Oreochromis niloticus: one gene and its partner. The protein of the gene in region 2 binds, or shares a complex with, the protein of the main gene of each other region. Links are inferred from orthologs where the notes say so. Each region holds a gene or a part of one and is shown on either strand. Other genes may lie near its edges.

What was found.
Region 1: timm21 (region 2) and timm17b share a complex: the UniProt entries of both Homo sapiens proteins name them as parts of the TIM23 complex. The link is inferred for Oreochromis niloticus from reciprocal best matches to the Homo sapiens genes TIMM21 and TIMM17B.

The regions. Positions count from the first base shown.
Region 1 is NC_031984.2:10,675,092-10,683,721, forward strand, and holds the start of timm17b (mitochondrial import inner membrane translocase subunit Tim17-B), read right to left. Parts: upstream 3,337-8,630; 5' UTR 3,277-3,336; coding exon 3,251-3,276; intron 2,032-3,250; coding exon 1,932-2,031; intron 1,848-1,931; coding exon 1,784-1,847; intron 1,653-1,783; coding exon 1,524-1,652; intron 1,337-1,523; coding exon 1,226-1,336; intron 551-1,225; coding exon 465-550; 3' UTR 1-464. Other genes in the region: pqbp1 (polyglutamine-binding protein 1), read left to right, coding at 4,596-4,662, 4,760-4,871, 5,135-5,235, 5,415-5,633, 5,719-5,776, 6,753-6,903; gpkow (G-patch domain and KOW motifs-containing protein), read right to left, coding at 7,371-7,502, 7,596-7,681. UniProt on the Homo sapiens protein: Essential component of the TIM23 complex, a complex that mediates the translocation of transit peptide-containing proteins across the mitochondrial inner membrane.
Region 2 is NC_031974.2:20,962,741-20,970,649, forward strand, and holds timm21 (mitochondrial import inner membrane translocase subunit Tim21), read left to right. Parts: upstream 1-4,341; 5' UTR 4,342-4,535; coding exon 4,536-4,824; intron 4,825-5,235; coding exon 5,236-5,298; intron 5,299-5,383; coding exon 5,384-5,481; intron 5,482-5,606; coding exon 5,607-5,680; intron 5,681-5,783; coding exon 5,784-5,889; intron 5,890-7,046; coding exon 7,047-7,139; 3' UTR 7,140-7,410; downstream 7,411-7,909. UniProt on the Homo sapiens protein: Participates in the translocation of transit peptide-containing proteins across the mitochondrial inner membrane.

The DNA of each region.
Region 1 (8,630 bases), on a different chromosome or scaffold from region 2:
GATGTGCAGTTTTCTTATTTTAACTTTCTGCCTTTCAGTCATTAAAATACATAATCAACCCAAGTATAAGATCTTTGGAAGCATAAAGCAGTTTTTGGATAAAACTAATTTGGTTCCTTGAGCAGTGTCTCCAAGAATACAAATGGGCTGAAAATTATTTATTTTAATAGATACATGTTGCTATAATGACTAAATTAACTTACTATGTGGTTTTGAGAACTACACATTGAAGAAAATAATAATAAATATTGAAAACATTGATTTTTCAGGTGGTGCAAACATGAGGAAATTATTAACATTTACTCATAAATAACTGAAACAGTAATTTGTCCCTGAGGTATGTATTAGCATCCAGTAGGGACCAGTATCTCCACCTCTTGGTCATCCTGGTAGATGCTGTTCATGTGCTGGCATTCCTATTATCCTTTCAGTTGTCCACAGCTGGCTTCAGTCCTGAACCTTCTCTACTGAAACTGCCCCCTTTGCCCCTGATGTTGATGATCTCCATCCTTTGGCGGTAACTGACTAGGGTCGTCTGCAAAGGGAATTGCTGGAGAAATCAAGGAAGAAGACACAACAAAGTCAGTTTTTCATGCTTCACTGGCATGTAATCAAGATATAATCTATGTTTCCCTCAGGAACATTTATATGAATATTACTACTGTCTAGGTCTGCTGTGCTTTCAGGCTTTTTGGTTTGGTAGCCTTCCCTCGGCTCATCTCATCCAAAATAAGATATGTCTCAGCAGGTTATCTAACTTGAGCCGTGCTGGAGGAAACCTGATGCTCATACATTTGACTGGTTATTCACAGTAACACTAAAAAAACTATTTTAATAGTCTCACATTCTTCAGCATTTTTTATAAGTTGTTATATCATTAACATTGTGAGAAATTGTGTTCTTGGGAAAAATTAATCAAACAGGAAACACAAATTAAACTGCACAAGAACCTTGAGAGAGTGGACGATTTTCCTCAGGTTCTTTAAAACATTTTGATAGAAACAAAAAATGCTACGAGTGTGGTGAGGGTGAGTAAAAATGGGACCAGTGAGATGAAAAATGTTGCCCTATGCCGAAGTCCAGCCATAACTGAGGAGTGGACGCCAGTACAGGGGTATAAAACCACTCACACATTTAATCATGTGACATTTTGCTAAACTACTGATAAACCATTGGTTCTGTGCAGTTTAAATATCATTTCTGAAACATAATTAACTTCACTCACGGTTCTGAAACTGCTGCGCTGTGTATCTGGTTAGGAGAATCCCAAAACCCTCAATGAGAGCGAGCAAAATCCCCCCCATCATTGCAGAGCCCATCATTGTTAGAGGTCCACCTGAAGAAAAATGCAATATTCAGCGAGTCACACTAATTATCCCAATGTAGAAACCCAATTGTAAAAAAAATTGGAATTTTGTTTACATTTTACACAGCGTGCCAACTTTTTCAGAATTGGGGCTGTATTTACTGACACAGAGAGACACAGTGGTGTCTTGTTTCTTTTGAGCTAATGAGCTCCTTACTGCGTGCTGCTAGGATGGCTCCAGTCAGCGCACCACTGGTTATAGAGTTCCAAGGATCCTCTTTCCCTCTCAGACGAACCAAACCACAGTCGATTGTGGAAAAGAGCCCTCCCCATACAGCAAAGCTACCTGCAACATAAGAAGTAACCAGACTTCAGCTACTTGTATGAAGCTAACTGTACCTAAACAATTTAATCTACACAAAAAATGGTATATTACTAACTAACTGCCATGTGTAACAAAAAACAGGAACTCCTTACCTCCAATCTGTGGAGCTCTAACTCTCACTGCTTTTGCACTCCCTTTCAGCCGGTGTCCGACACCCTGAAATATTAGAGCTCAGTTGAATTCTGCCTTTAACAACCTGACAAGCCAGAGAACAAACAAAAACCTGTGTTTTGAACTCACAGCAGGGGCATTTCGAAAGCCCTTGACCGCCTGGAACACCCCTCCTCCAATTGCACCCATTGTGAAAGCACCTCCACAGTCATCCACTATCCTCCAGGGGCTGGGTTAAGAGAGAAATGGATATTTATGTGACAGGAAAACTGACAATGGGGATATATCTGACAACTAACATCCAGTACATATACAAAATGCAGAAGTTATCTATCGGGGTCTGGATGACGCCGAAGACAATATGGGCACAGTTCTGGCCGAGAAATGTATATTACCCAAGGATGAAGAACTAGCTCCTTAAATATAACTAAATACTCACCTCTGAGTTATGTTTGTGTTAGAAAACATATCAAACATCATAAATGAATATGTCAAACAGCAGTGAAAGAACTAATGAGGTGGGGAGAAGGGAAGTGACAATTTAGTATTCTCCTGCCATAGCCCAGGTTTGATATGTTGTCCATTCAGAGATGCTATACTGCACACTTCAGTTGTAAGGAGTGGTTATTTGAGTTACTGCTGCCTTCAGTTCAAAGCAGTCTGACCACTCTCATCTGATCTCTGACATCAACAAGGCTTTTTCAACCATATAACTGTTGCTCACTGGATATTTTCTCTTTTTCACGCTGTTCTCTATAAAACCCTAGAAATTATTTTGTGGGGAAAAGGCTGTAGTTAAACATTTTCGAAAATATTGAAAAGATCGGCCATTCTGGCAAAAACAATCATGTGATGTTCAAAATCAATAAAAATCAAATGTTTGAACTTCTCCAGCCTGAACTTCAGCAATGCGTCATGACCATGTCCATATGTCTAAATGCACTAAGTTGTTGCCAAGTGACAGAATGTAGGTTTACATTAATAAGTAGGTGGACGGGTATGCCTAATGAAGTGGCTGATATCTGGATTCTTTATCCCGTTCCTTTGAACTCTGTCATTAAAGTTTGACTTGTAGGGGATCAACCTTGACTGGAGGTGTGTCTTAACTTGATAAATAAATAAATAAAGCTTCATGTACTGCCTGTTTGGAACCATATTTTGAGATTAAAATACCCACTATTTTTAATTTCTATCCTAACTCCAGCTGTCACTTAAAAACAGCGACATTTTCAGATAAAGGTGACTCTACCAGCTTATTGTGTGTGCAGAGGGCGCCTCCATATAACAGCTTTATCTTTTTTATATGCCTTAAATAAGCAGGCCGCAACACCCACAGAGCCTTTCTGCTCACTCTCACATCAAAACTGAGTATGAAATTAAAAAGTCAACACTTGACTCCAACTTAATTAGTTCTAAAATAAAAACAAACGCTTAAATTCTAATCTTACCAGGGCTCTCGGGCATACTCCTCCATGTCTGTTTACGTCGTCGTCTTCGTCAAGAGGACGTGATTACGTCATCATTAAGCGCGCCGTGTATGCTGTTTTGGAAAGAGGTATCGTTAGCTTGACGATAAAAAAGGGCCACCTTTTTTTTAAAAAAAGGTAAGAATTTAATTATTTCTTATTGTTCAGTCTTTTGAAGTAAAGGTTAACATTTGTGTTTGTGTGGTGTGGATGCTTTTTGGAGACGCATAGTTTGGTTTATTGCGTTATTCTTACATCTGCAGCCACGGATGCACCGCAAGCGTGTTAGTTTCTTGTTAAAGGAAACATTTCGTATTGTACATGGTACAAATTATTACAAAGAAAACATATATATATATATATGTATGTGTATATATGTAAATACATATATGGACATACATATAAGACAAGGAGCTAGTAAAGTTTTACCTGGAATTCACGTAGGATGGCCATATAACCTAAGAAACTGATTTATTTATTAGGATTGTGAAGTTACTTTAAGTTTTATGAGCAGAGGATTACTTTAAATGATGACAGGACACATAACAGTTCAGGAGTTTAGTCATTCTAAGACCTACCAGGATGCATGCTTTAAACTACAATTCATGGATATCATTGTGATATCGACATCAAAACAGCCAGCTGTAATGTATTGCAGGAAATGATGGTCTACAGACGTGACAAGTCTGCTGCAAAAATGTGGTTCTGGGCAGTGTTAAAGCTGCTGTTGATAGAATTATTACAGTAAAGGCATAATCTCCGCTTATCAGAAAACAAGAAATGTCCTCAGAGAAAATGGACAAAACAAAATAATGATAATAATAAGAAGAAGATGAAGAATAAAAAACAGGTAAATATGGGAACTGTTTCAAAACCAAGTGTTCAGTAAAGTGTGAGATGAATAGTGGACCAAAAATATTAAACTTAATGATGATTAAAAAAAAACAAAATTAACAGACTTGCAATTTTGTGTCTAATATATAAAATAACCCATTAAAGTAATGAAACTGTTACAAAATGTGCTTATATTAAAGATCACTAAACTATATAATGGTGGTAATCATGTGCATTTTACTTTATGGCCACATGTGACTCAGTGGTTTGTGTGTAAGTGATGAGTTTCTATATGTCCTAATTAATCAAAGGGTACATATTATTGAAAGTAAATGATATGTATTATATTATCTGATTTATGACCAATCTAAGACTATTTTAATACTGTGTAATAATGTGTTATGAGCATTTGTTCTGCAACTGTTATTTTGGTACCCCAAGTGAATTTCAGCCGTAATATGAACAGTGTTTCACATGGACTCCGTCTTTCAGGATGCCTTTACCTCCAGCACTGCTGGCCCGATTGGCCAAGAGAGGGATTGTTAAACCAACAGAGCAAGGTAGTATAACAGATTTCATATTTGGGTCTCTGTCCTTCATGGATTTCTCCTAATGTTTTGTGCTGTTTAAAAACCTTTTCCCCTTCAATTAATCCAGGGGCAGATGAGGAGATTATTGCTGAAGATTATGATGACAACAATGTAGATTATGAAGCCACCAGAGTGGAGAATCTACCACCAAACTGGTACAAAGTGTTTGACTCTGCTTGGTATGTACACTTAATATACTATAATTTAATATAATAAGAATTTTATACTTTAATTCAAAATGATTATTATAAACTTCACAATCAGAATGCGCTAATTACTTTTTCTTTCTTGTTTCTCATTTTATTCTTGAGAAGTCAAATTCTCCTTGAACATTATAACTACTGTCATGGAGAGCTAAAGTGTATTTTTAAACTGTTAAGTAAGTTTTATTTAATTTTGTGGTTACAATATTAATCACTAATGTTTTATTTTCCTTACACAGTGGTCTACCTTATTACTGGAATGTCGAGACAGATATGGTTGCCTGGTTATCCCCAAATGACCCAACTGCAGTAATAACAAAACCTGCCAAGAAAATAAGAGGTATGCTTTTATTCAGCCTCTATAATGTAATGTTTTCAAGAGGCACTAATGATCACAATTTCAGTCCTCTTACAGTAGACGTGTGTTACTTTGCATGTACAATCTCAGAATACAGTTTGCTTTTGACAGATTTCAGCCATGGCTAATCTTGTGATCCTTGCCTTAACTTGTGTTTTTAGTAGAAGGAGGAGATGAAAAAGGCGAGAAGCAAGTTGAGAAACCAGACAGAGACAGGGACAGAGAACGACACAGAGACCGGGATCGGGAAAGGGATCGAGATCGGGAAAGGGACAGGGAAAGGGACCGGGACAGAGACAGAGAGCGTGATGATGGGAGGGACAGAGACAGAAGAAAGCAGAGAAGAGATGAGGCAGCACCATACAGTCGAAGCAAAAAAGGTAATGTTTACATCTGATTCATTACATGTTTACACATCGGCGCCTTTCACATGATTAAATATTGAACACCTAATATTTTTTACAGGTAGAAAAGATGACGAGATGGACCCCATGGATCCAAGTGCTTACTCTGATGCTCCAAGGTACAGTACAGATGGTCACCTTGATATAAGCTATATACGGGTCGTTCTCTGGTACTCCGATTTTGCCAGAATCATTGTGTTGCACTTGTTGAAAAAATAGTTATGAGAGACAGATCAAATCAATTCCCATCATACATTTTTATCTTAGACGAAAGAACTAAACCCTCACACAGCACAGCTACAGTGTTCGAGTGTGTCCCCTCAAAATTCAAAATGGTAATCAGCAAAGTTGATATCCCTGGTTTACGGAGCTCACATAAATCTACATTTCATGCAAGGCACAATACCTCAACAAGAGGCAGATTTTATTGCAGTAGCATAATGTTCATAGTGAACTGGATTAGGTTTCCTCCCATTTTCATAAAAGATGCTCTGCTAAAGAGGAAAATATATACAGGATTGTAGCACATTTCCTTAATATTTGACCAAATTTGACCAGCTTTTATCACAACTCACTTATTCCCTTAAGCATAAAATAAAGACTTGTAGAAAGGCCTCATATCCTTATGAGCTCTCAGCCCTCAGAGTGGGAACGTGTGAACACTGGGAAGGGGCCATACACTTTATTTTTTTAAAGAGCATTTTGGCTTGGCATGTCAGAGAAAGCACAGGTATAAAAACAACTTAAAGAATGGCTCCATACTACTTCAGCACGCTAGTTCCATACCCCTTGTATGTGCAGTCAGTCTTATTGTTGCTGTAAATGCAACATACTGTAGCCATCATTAACTAAATTTACCCCATTTGCAGTTTTCCTGCCACCATGAGCCAAATTCTCTGCTGTGAAAATGTCTATTAAAAAAATCTACACCTCCAGGGTTTCTGTTAAAAATATTCCTAAAACAAAGCTGAGATTGTCATTGCAATTTGATCAAGGTTGTTTTCTCAGGCTTGACAAAACCCCTTCTCAGCCACAGAAGACATTGTAGTGCTGATTACAAATGCAGTTAAAACACAAACGTATTCATTTTTGCAGGGGGTCGTGGTCAAGTGGGCTGCCCAAACGCAATGAAGCAAAAACGGGTGCAGACACCACAGCAGCGGGGCCTCTCTTCCAGCAGCGTCCGTACCCGAGTCCAGGAGCTGTTCTTCGGGCTAACGCAGCAAACCAACTACCCAAGGAGTAAAAGCAGATACCATGAAGACAGCATCTTAAAACCCACAACTCTACAGTTGGTCTTCATTATGCTCACATGCTAAACATCATAGTTTGACAGGCTTTTGTTTCATTGTGAAATGTGTACATGTCAGAAATGAAAGGCTGAACTTTTTGGACAGCTACTCTATTCATACTCCTGCCGTGTAGAGCATTTGTAAATATGTTTTTATATGACCCAAAGGTTCACTTCTCATTGTTACTAGACCTATCAGTGAACATGATAATAAACTTAAGACTACTGTGAAAATGATCTGTTGCAGCTTTTTCTCAATTGTTGCATTGCCATATGTACAAGGAAAAAAAAATCTTGACAAGTTTTTATTACAAAATTGAAATCTTTTAAAGTCCATAATACTTGAATAATGAAAAAAAATAAAACAGCTGGGATGAAGTGGATGGAAAAAGGACAGTGAATATTACAGTAAACATCCGAAATCAGTGGTCTGCTGCTGCCCCAACATAGTGACAAATGGAGTCATAGTCTAATGTGAACACTTTATCCTCGTATCTGTCGAGCTGGACCATCGCTCTGCACTTGTTCTTGTCCCGCTGAAGAATACGGCCAACCTGAATCAGGTGGGAAAATAGTGATCAGTAACAGCTAATCAGATTTAAACAAATACATATATATATGTAAAGCAGTGAGGTTACTTTGCTCACCTTTCCCTTGTGCTCACCCAGTACCACCATTACAGAATCATGTTCACTTTTTGGGACAATAGTTTCCAGCATGTCCTGCTTCACATCTGCCACAAGAAAAGAAAAAAGAAACGCTGGGTCATTCATTGAAGAAATTCTACAGTAATACCAACTAGGCAGCACTCAGGAATAGAGCCAGCAGATTCTGACATTTATGTTTGCTAATAACCAAAAAGGAAAAAGAATCAAATTAATCCCCAATCTGGGAAGTCTGGTTGTCAGATTTAAGTCAGCAGACCGACCTCTCAGGACAACAACCAATGCTTCCACTATAGCCAGCAGATATCTGTGGTAAGAAGTCCTGTTATTATTTTTGCAACAAATACATTTTAAAGAACAAATAAAATGTAAAAATATTATTCCAACTCAAGGTTATATTTTGGCAATAACAATAATCAGTAATCCCTCGCCTTGCTCTTCAACAGGACCATTTACCTGTAAGTAATCTGCAAACAGATTCTTGTCCTGCGCCTAAAGATTCTGAGCACTTTTATGATGACATGATTTTAAAGTGACTGATTTGACATGATAGCATTGTGTAAAGTTAGCTGTTGGAAAGCACAACTGCAGCCAGAACAATATGAAGTTAATTTCAAACGAAACACAGAAACAAAACTTATCATGACAGAAAAGATCTGAGTATAATCCTAACAGATTAAAACTGTACATATCTCTCAAATTAACTAACTGTAAACAGTATAGAAGACTGGTTATTCTGCAGATTCAGTAGTGCCAAAAAGAATAGTTCAACCATTTTTTTTTTTTAAAAATCCATATTTGCTTTGTGTTGTTGAAAGTTAGCTGCGAGGACCTATACACCTTTATATTTAAATATGCAAATGTGCAGATCTGGGAGATTTAACCTGAGAGAAAAGAAAATGAGCATTACAAGTTATTCTACTGGTCAACAATTATAACTTCTTCATCATTGTGTGCAAAGAAATGGAGAAAAAGAGATTTAACAAACCTTCAAAAACAAATAAAGCCATACTTTTC
Region 2 (7,909 bases):
CTGAACCTTTTTAAAGGTAGTTTTTCCTCCCCACTGTCGCCATGTGCTTGCTCATAGGGGATTGTTGGGTTTTTTTCTTGAATTCAGTTCAGTTCAATTCATTTGTATGTAAATACTGTTGAATTGAATTGAACTCAATTAAAGAAGATTTTTAGGAGACGGCGTCTCTGAGTGAACCAGGTTATTATAACATCTTACCCATAAAAAGTTACGAGTGACCAATCAAATAAAAAATTGGATTTACCAAAACATCTGAAGTGTGAACATTTAATTTTGTCTCATTTAAAACATATTAAAATGTCAAATTACTACAATCATAATAATAACAACATAATAACAGCAGAAATAAAAATGTTTACATCCTTTTTGAAAACATTGTTCTGTGAATGATATCCACTGCATTTGTGCTGTTGATGCCTTTTGAAAGCATTCCTAATAGCATCTATCAAGCAATATGCCTTGCTCAATGGTTCATGGAAGCATGAACAGTTTTGGTAACTGGCTTTGTAAATTGAAATTCTACAGCTTTATACTAGTAAACGCTTGTGCTACATGCGGAAGACAGGTATAGTCAGCTGAGTATCCAGCCATTATTATGAAAGTTTTCTCTTTGGCGTCCACAAATGCAACAGCTCATAACAAAATGGTGCAAACACAGGTGAATCCACGTAAATATACTTTTCATATCTGAAAGTCCTGAAGAGAACAGTGTTATGTAAAAAAGTAGCAAATTAGTTTTTGGTTGAAAATTTCTTTGTTGTAACAATGATTTGGGGCAATAAATCTTACACCATTGGAAAACCTGTTTATTTCCCTTTCAATGGTGACACGGTGGCCTGCTTTCCATCGCTGTAAGAGTTTTAGTGACACGATCCAAAGTGGCCTTTGTGACACTGGTGGAGAGTATGATCAAACTCTGGGAGGCCATGTTCAAGAGGGGGCGAGGAGGAAGCTCCCAGAAGCCCTGTAAGATGCGGGGAACTACCTCTATCACCTCTTGCAGTGAGCAGTTTGGAGCTATGCCGTACCTGCTGCTTCTCTTTAAGAATCTCAACGTAATTTCTCACCATGCTGAGGAGTTTAGTTGTTCTGTAGAAAAATTTTATAAGAATGATCTTTTAAACATGTGTAAAGCATCACAGAAACTGTAGCTGGACTGTTAATAATTGTCAGATGTAACTCACTGAAATTTAGGAGGTATGGACTCTGGAAATGTGGTTCTGGAAAATTTTATTAATGGCATTTACTGCCCACACCTGAAACAGAAAACACATTTACAGTGCAGTTTTGTTTAGATGTTATGTGAACAAAATAAATAAACCTCCAAGTTACTACAAGTCTTGTGAGTTTTCTAGTCTCACTAGTTTCAGAAGAGGTTTGGCTTCTTTGTCTCCAAAATCCCCCAATTCAAACTCCCAAAGCCTTCAAAAGAAAATAAACAGAGGTTTTCTCTCAGCATTTACACTTCATCACAAACAGACTGTCATGTTTGAGGTGGATGGTCAGTATCACAGTTACTCACTGCTCTCTGAGTGTCTGTTTGCTCTTCTCCACCAAAAAATCTCTTAGGTCTTCAGCAGTGATGTGTGATGGGATTTTGCTTTCCTGCTGAAGTCTGAGGAACTCCATCATCATTGCAATCTAAAAATAAAAGGAGACATTTAAACATCACCACTCTCAGGTCCTGAGAAATCACCTGATATTTTACATCAGCTTTGGTTTGGATGGATCTCAGTCTTACCTGAGCCCTGTAGCCCAGAAGATGCCAGCAGATCTTCACAGCCATGTCGTAAATGTGTGTTTGACAGGTGTTGTTCGACATGAACAGCACCTGTCAAAGAAATAAGAAGTTACTGATTGTTACTTAAGTTTATTCTCAGTCTGTCAGCTTTTAAAACTACATCAAATTCTTTAAACTGCTAAAATGCAGAAGGAAAAAAAACTGTCACATACCCTGATGGGTTTGTAGATTCCTCTACTTGCTTCAATTGAAATGTTGTTGTTGAATCACAGTCGGGAACAAAAACTGTCAAATACCATCCAAATTGCGTAAATTGTGTAATGTGAAATGCAGAAAGAAAAAACTCTGAACTCAATGGTTTCTCTTGTACAGATGAGCTATTTTTAAAGTCTGATTAAATTAAATTAAAGTCCGATTTATTTTTATTTTATTTATTTAATGCAGAATTCTAGAACGGTCTCCATGGAAATACTTTATGCAAGTTAAAGGAAAACACTTTATCTACATTACACTAAACTTTATTTATCATATAAGTAGATAAGTGTAGGCTACAGGTGTCCTTAAGTCACTCCTGTGAAAAGATGCATACAAGCTGGTGAATCAGAAAAGACAGAAAGTCACCCTGCAGCATCGTCTTTTTATATTATTTGCCTGCTTATCTCCATTTTCTTACTGTAGATGTGAACATGAGCAGCAAAACAATGGTGGAGGGGACTAATGCATAAATTTGAAGGCTGACAGGATGTAAACTGGCCCTTTAAACAGTCCAGAGGGAGAGACCTCTGTGTAAAGCACAACAACAACAATAATAATAATAATAATAATAATAATAATACCCTAAATAATGAGGTCATTAATTACTAGGATACCTACTGCCATGTTTTCTTAGTTACTGATGTTTAGAGAGGCCACCTTTGTTATGGTTCACAGGAGTTCAGGAGTGAGTGATGAAAGTGATGCTACATTAGGGTCTGTCTCTGGACTGGTGGTTTGCTGCTCTATGAGTTCAGCAGGAGGAGTTGAACCCACAGCGGTTCCCTGGTGGGTAGGAAGATCATACTTCAGGTTCAATATTATAGTTACGTTCTTGATGGTCTGAACCTCAGACAGGAACTGGTCAGGACAACTGACTCAGATTTTTCAAGTTCTGCTACAGAGAGAGAACTAAGACAGCAACACCTACACCTCCTGACCACACAATGTTAATGATTTGTCTTCTCAGTGTTGCCATAATATTTTCGGTTGCTAAATACAGCTAAAAGCAGAAAATTCATTGTTGAAAAATCAATACTAAAGTGCTACATTTTGACAAGTTACCCCAAAAAGTCTACAAAGGTTATTTTCTGTCCACCAAAGTAAATATGATTCAAGAGATTTTTGTAACTTCACTTGTCCAAAAAGCAAATAAAGAGATTAAACAAAGATATACTGAATGACAGTCAGCATTACCAGAGTTAGCAGAGCTACTGTAGCTTGGTTTATAGACTTGAATTAGGAGGGATAAGAAAAGTGAATTCACTTGACTGGAATCTGCAATCTACTGACATCTAATGGTGAGATTTTACAAGCTCTAACTTTAATGATACTTGAACATAGGCCAGGCACGGCATTGCTCTTGCCGAGCCTGTTCAGCCAGCAACACATCTGTGTAATATGTGAATAAAATCAAAACCTGTTCCAATCAAATTTCCCAGTAGAGGTTTTGACCTTTTGTATTGTACTTCTAATTTCTGAAAAATTACTCTAAAGCTTCTTCTAATGCTCCAGAGTCTATTTGGACCATTTGGACATGACAACCATTAACTGAAGTATGAAATTACGTCAGAGCGCATGGAGTCAGAAGTAAATTGCAGTAGATTTTGTCAGTGTCTGTGGCACATAAATTCAACTTACCTCCAAAACTGACAAATACATTCATAATTAGCACACTTCCCATTGTGTGAAGACTGTAGCAAAACGTCTAAAAAAACGTCTAAAAGGGTCTAAAAAAAACCTATTAAAAACTAATTTACCTGCTCATTTGATGTCCCTCTTACATGGTAATTCACTCACTTGCTGAAACTCACACACAGACACACACACAGCAGATGTTTTGCAGATTTTTTTTTTTAATTTGAGATTCTTATGTTTAGACCTTTAAAAAACATAATTCCACTCTTAAAGTGATTTAAAGAATATGAGATTTCAATATTAATTCAGATTTTTTCTGACTCTAAATTTTCTTTGGTCATTACTCAGTTGTTTTTTTTTTCTAATGTACATTTTGAAGATGTTCAGTTACTTTCCAACTTTGAAACTTCGCCGTCTGTGTGAACTTCAGCTTTCAACAGTTCAGCACTTTGGTTTATAGGTGAATGATTTGGTGTATGTCAGTTAAATTTAACAAGGTTCCCAAATATTTCTTATACTGCAATTTCTTCAGGAAATGCATTCTCTAGTTGTAACTGTAAATTTTTTCTTAAAGATTTTTTTTTATCACCTGACTATTCAGCCGATTTCGGACTTTTTATTTTATTTTGTTGAAGACGTTTTTGCTGTAGACGATGATGACGAGCGAGTGACGTTTCACTGCTGCTCTGTCGCTTTAACGGTGAGTGACGGCAATATTGTGCGCCGGTGAAGCACAAATCCGGCGACTGACTTGACCCAGTCCTGTTGCCCAGTGTTTTGGAGTAGTTTAGTGCTGTGAGCTGTGAATTCATGTATACTAAGTCCGTTTTGTTTACTTAAACCACACAGTAGGCTGGTTAGTGTAGTTTTGCGATATTAGGAAGGGGCTTGCTCAAATCAAATCATGGCTTATATTCAGGTTTTGAAGGTCCTGCACCGAAATCTGCAGCACAGAGCACCACAGGTCAGAGTGCTTATCCAGACGCACAGGAGAGTGTCAACATTATCAAGACTGGCCTTACACAGTGGACTAGAGGCTAATTCGCCTGTGCTAAGCTGCTTAATACAAACACACAGACGGCGGGGTATTTGTCTCGACTTTACAGCCAGAAATAAAAGCAGCCCCGAGGACCGAGACAGGTCAGTGTCCAAGTACCAGAGTGGGAGTCCAAAGCCTTCAGCTGCACAAAAAGGTATGCAAGGCAAGGAAATAAAAAGGATTTAAGTCGTGCTAATATATGTACTCAGATATTAGCAGCGTAGTTTCATGATAGCCTGCTATTTTCAAAGCATACCATTAGGCTTTGTTCGCAGGCACTGTGGAGAAAATATAGTATATTTAACCAAGCAGTGATTTATCCCACTGCAGCAGCAGTTTTGGGACTAAAAAATACACGATTATTGTATTTATAGCTTATATCTGGAAATTAATCGCTCTGATTATCACCAGCAGCAGAGGAAATATCTTAAAATGGCCCAGGAGTTTATTTACTGAATAACTGAACAAACACTTGCCTTAATTAGTGAGACTCTAACTTTGCTCATTTAAATGAAAACTATGCACAGCTGTTGCATAATAACCCTCAACACTGAATGCCTTCCAGTGAAAGAAGCTGGCAGGGACTTCACCTACCTGATCGTGGTACTCATCGGGCTTGGAGTGACAGGTGAATACAGTGGAATTTAAAAGCTGCAGTCATAACCCAGGCAATTCATCATCCTGTTTGAAATGACGTCTGTGTGTGTTTTCAGGTGGGCTGCTGTATGTGGTGTTCCAAGAGCTGTTTTCATCCGCGAGTCCAAATAAAGTGTATGGAAGAGCCTTCGATAAAGTCAAGTCACACCCAGAAGTACGAGCGATATTAGTGACTGTCAAACATGAGGCCAGGCTGACAATGTTACAGTTCGGTATTTAAGGTCCTCTTGATGATCTTATGAGGTCATATAAAAAGTTTCTTGTTTATTGAAAATGTAGGTGATTGGTGCATTTGGTGAGCCAATCAAATGTTACGGGGAGACCACCCGTCGAGGAAGGAGGCAGCAAGTCAGGTTGGTGTTTTGTTAATTTGTCAAACAAGTTCAGCAACAAAGCCCACTTTTATTTAAGGTAGCCTTAACATCTATAATGGCAGTCTTTGTCTCTTCTCCTCAGTCATATCGAGTACCTGAAGGATGGAATGAAGCATATGAGACTTAAGTTTTACATTGAGGGCTCGGAGCCGGGAGTGAAGGGGACAGTGCATACAGAGTCTAAAGAGGTTGGTATTCTGCCATTCAAAAGCCAGCTTATGAAATACATACATGCACAAGCACTGATTGACACTTCTGCGGTGAATGTTTTGTGTCTTTTCACTAGCACCTACTCAGCTCGACTCTGCTCTATTCAGTTTCGGTCATTTTCAATCATATTTGAGTACCACCTCGATGTAGGTGGGGTCACTGTAGCAAGGCGACCTGGAAGTCCCATGGCGTTATTTGTATGTGACACAAACACAATGCAAAAAATGGAGATGTGAACCAGCACTGCACTCATCACTCCAGGTTTTGGCATCACTAAATAGGGAGAGCATAATTAGCCAGCCACCCTGCCACTGCCCTCGAGCCCACTGCACCACCCCTCCACACACCTCCTTCACAGGAGGGCATCAAGCCAATTGTTTACCTGCTACCAAACTGACGCTAAAACTCTGGATCTCATCATTGGACCACGCTGTTGGTTTGTGTTCTTATGAAGGAGTTGCTCTCATGACTCACCCAGTGATGTCACTCGCTGCTCAATCAGTGGCTTGCGGTCTATTGATGTCATATTTTCAGCTTGACTCAGCTCGCTTGGAAATCCAGACTAGTAGGTACTCAAAAAGTACCTAGTAACAAGTACTACCAACTAATAGAAAATTGAGTAATTTTCAAATTGAGATAAGCCGAGTAGGTCCTAGTGGAAAAGATGCTTTTGTGGGGCCTACAATGTAACCTACCTATCGTAGGCTCGTTGTTGCCAGCGTTTATGCTTGTGCGGGTGTATTACGGGTAAATTTATGTTGATGTTGTAATTATTATTCCCCATATTGAGGCAGTGATTGTTATTCTCTCACAGTTAAATTGAAAAGCCGTTGCAAAAAAAGTAGCCAAAAATGCACAGAAGAAATCGGCTGTAATGGACAGACCAATCACAGTGGTTGCGGGCTGTGACATGTAGTTAGATTCATGTGCATGTCAGGTTATGTCATAGTTTCAGAGGATTTTGCAGTTACAAAACGGCTTCGATGGGTAGATTTCACACTGAAGCATAAATCCCCAGTAAGTGGCACTGTGTGTATTCCTAAATCTTCACCTAGTTTCATATGTGATGGCCATCACATCGCTGATGTTTTTATATGTGTTTAATCAACCAGTCTTCTTGTTGTTGATTTTACAGAATCCTGAAACTGGAAAATATGAGTTTCGTTATATATTTGTGGACATGGACGTCTACCCAAGACGGACCATTATTGTGGAAGATAACAGATAAGGACCATAAGACGTGTGATTCAGCGTTATGGAAGCATGAGGAGTGTGTGTCAGATGTGCTGCTGGACAGAAAAGCTGGAGAATTTGCCTTCACATACTGTCAGAGGCTGTTAAACAATTACAGCTTTGGTGTAGAGCCTTGCAAAGCAGAGATCAAAGGATCACGTGGCCCCATGCTACTAATTTATAAATGTTTGTTTTTTGACTAGATTGTGATCTTGATTTTGAAATAATATCTTAAATTTGAATACAATAAAACACTTGGGAACAAACATACGACTGAAACAGCGTGTGTGTGTTTTGGACCCTCCCAGGGAAGGAAGTATGTAATAAGTTCTGTTTGTTTGTCTCTTCGTTAGCATTCAAGTGTCCACAGTTTTCAACATATCATTTTCAAATTTTGTGTGATGGTAGATACCAATAGCAGCTTAAGCTGTTTTCATTTTAGTTCACATCAAATGTGAAATTCAGTAAAAACTTTATATTACCCACTATACATTGGCTTCAAACCTCCCAACAATAGATTAGACTCTCATTGGGGGACCTTCATTGTTAGCCCTCCAAGGTCAAAGTTAATCTTTGGACAGGGGGGTGGGAGAATTCAAGGAACTATATTGAGTAATACTTCATATGAAAGGGCATGGACAGAGCTCTACAACACACTTATTAACTTTTTCAGTACAATGCCCTACAGCGTTACAATGACCCCATAAATTTTTACAAACTCACTCACTGCATAACTATATCTTAAAATCTCACGTTTCTACAGCT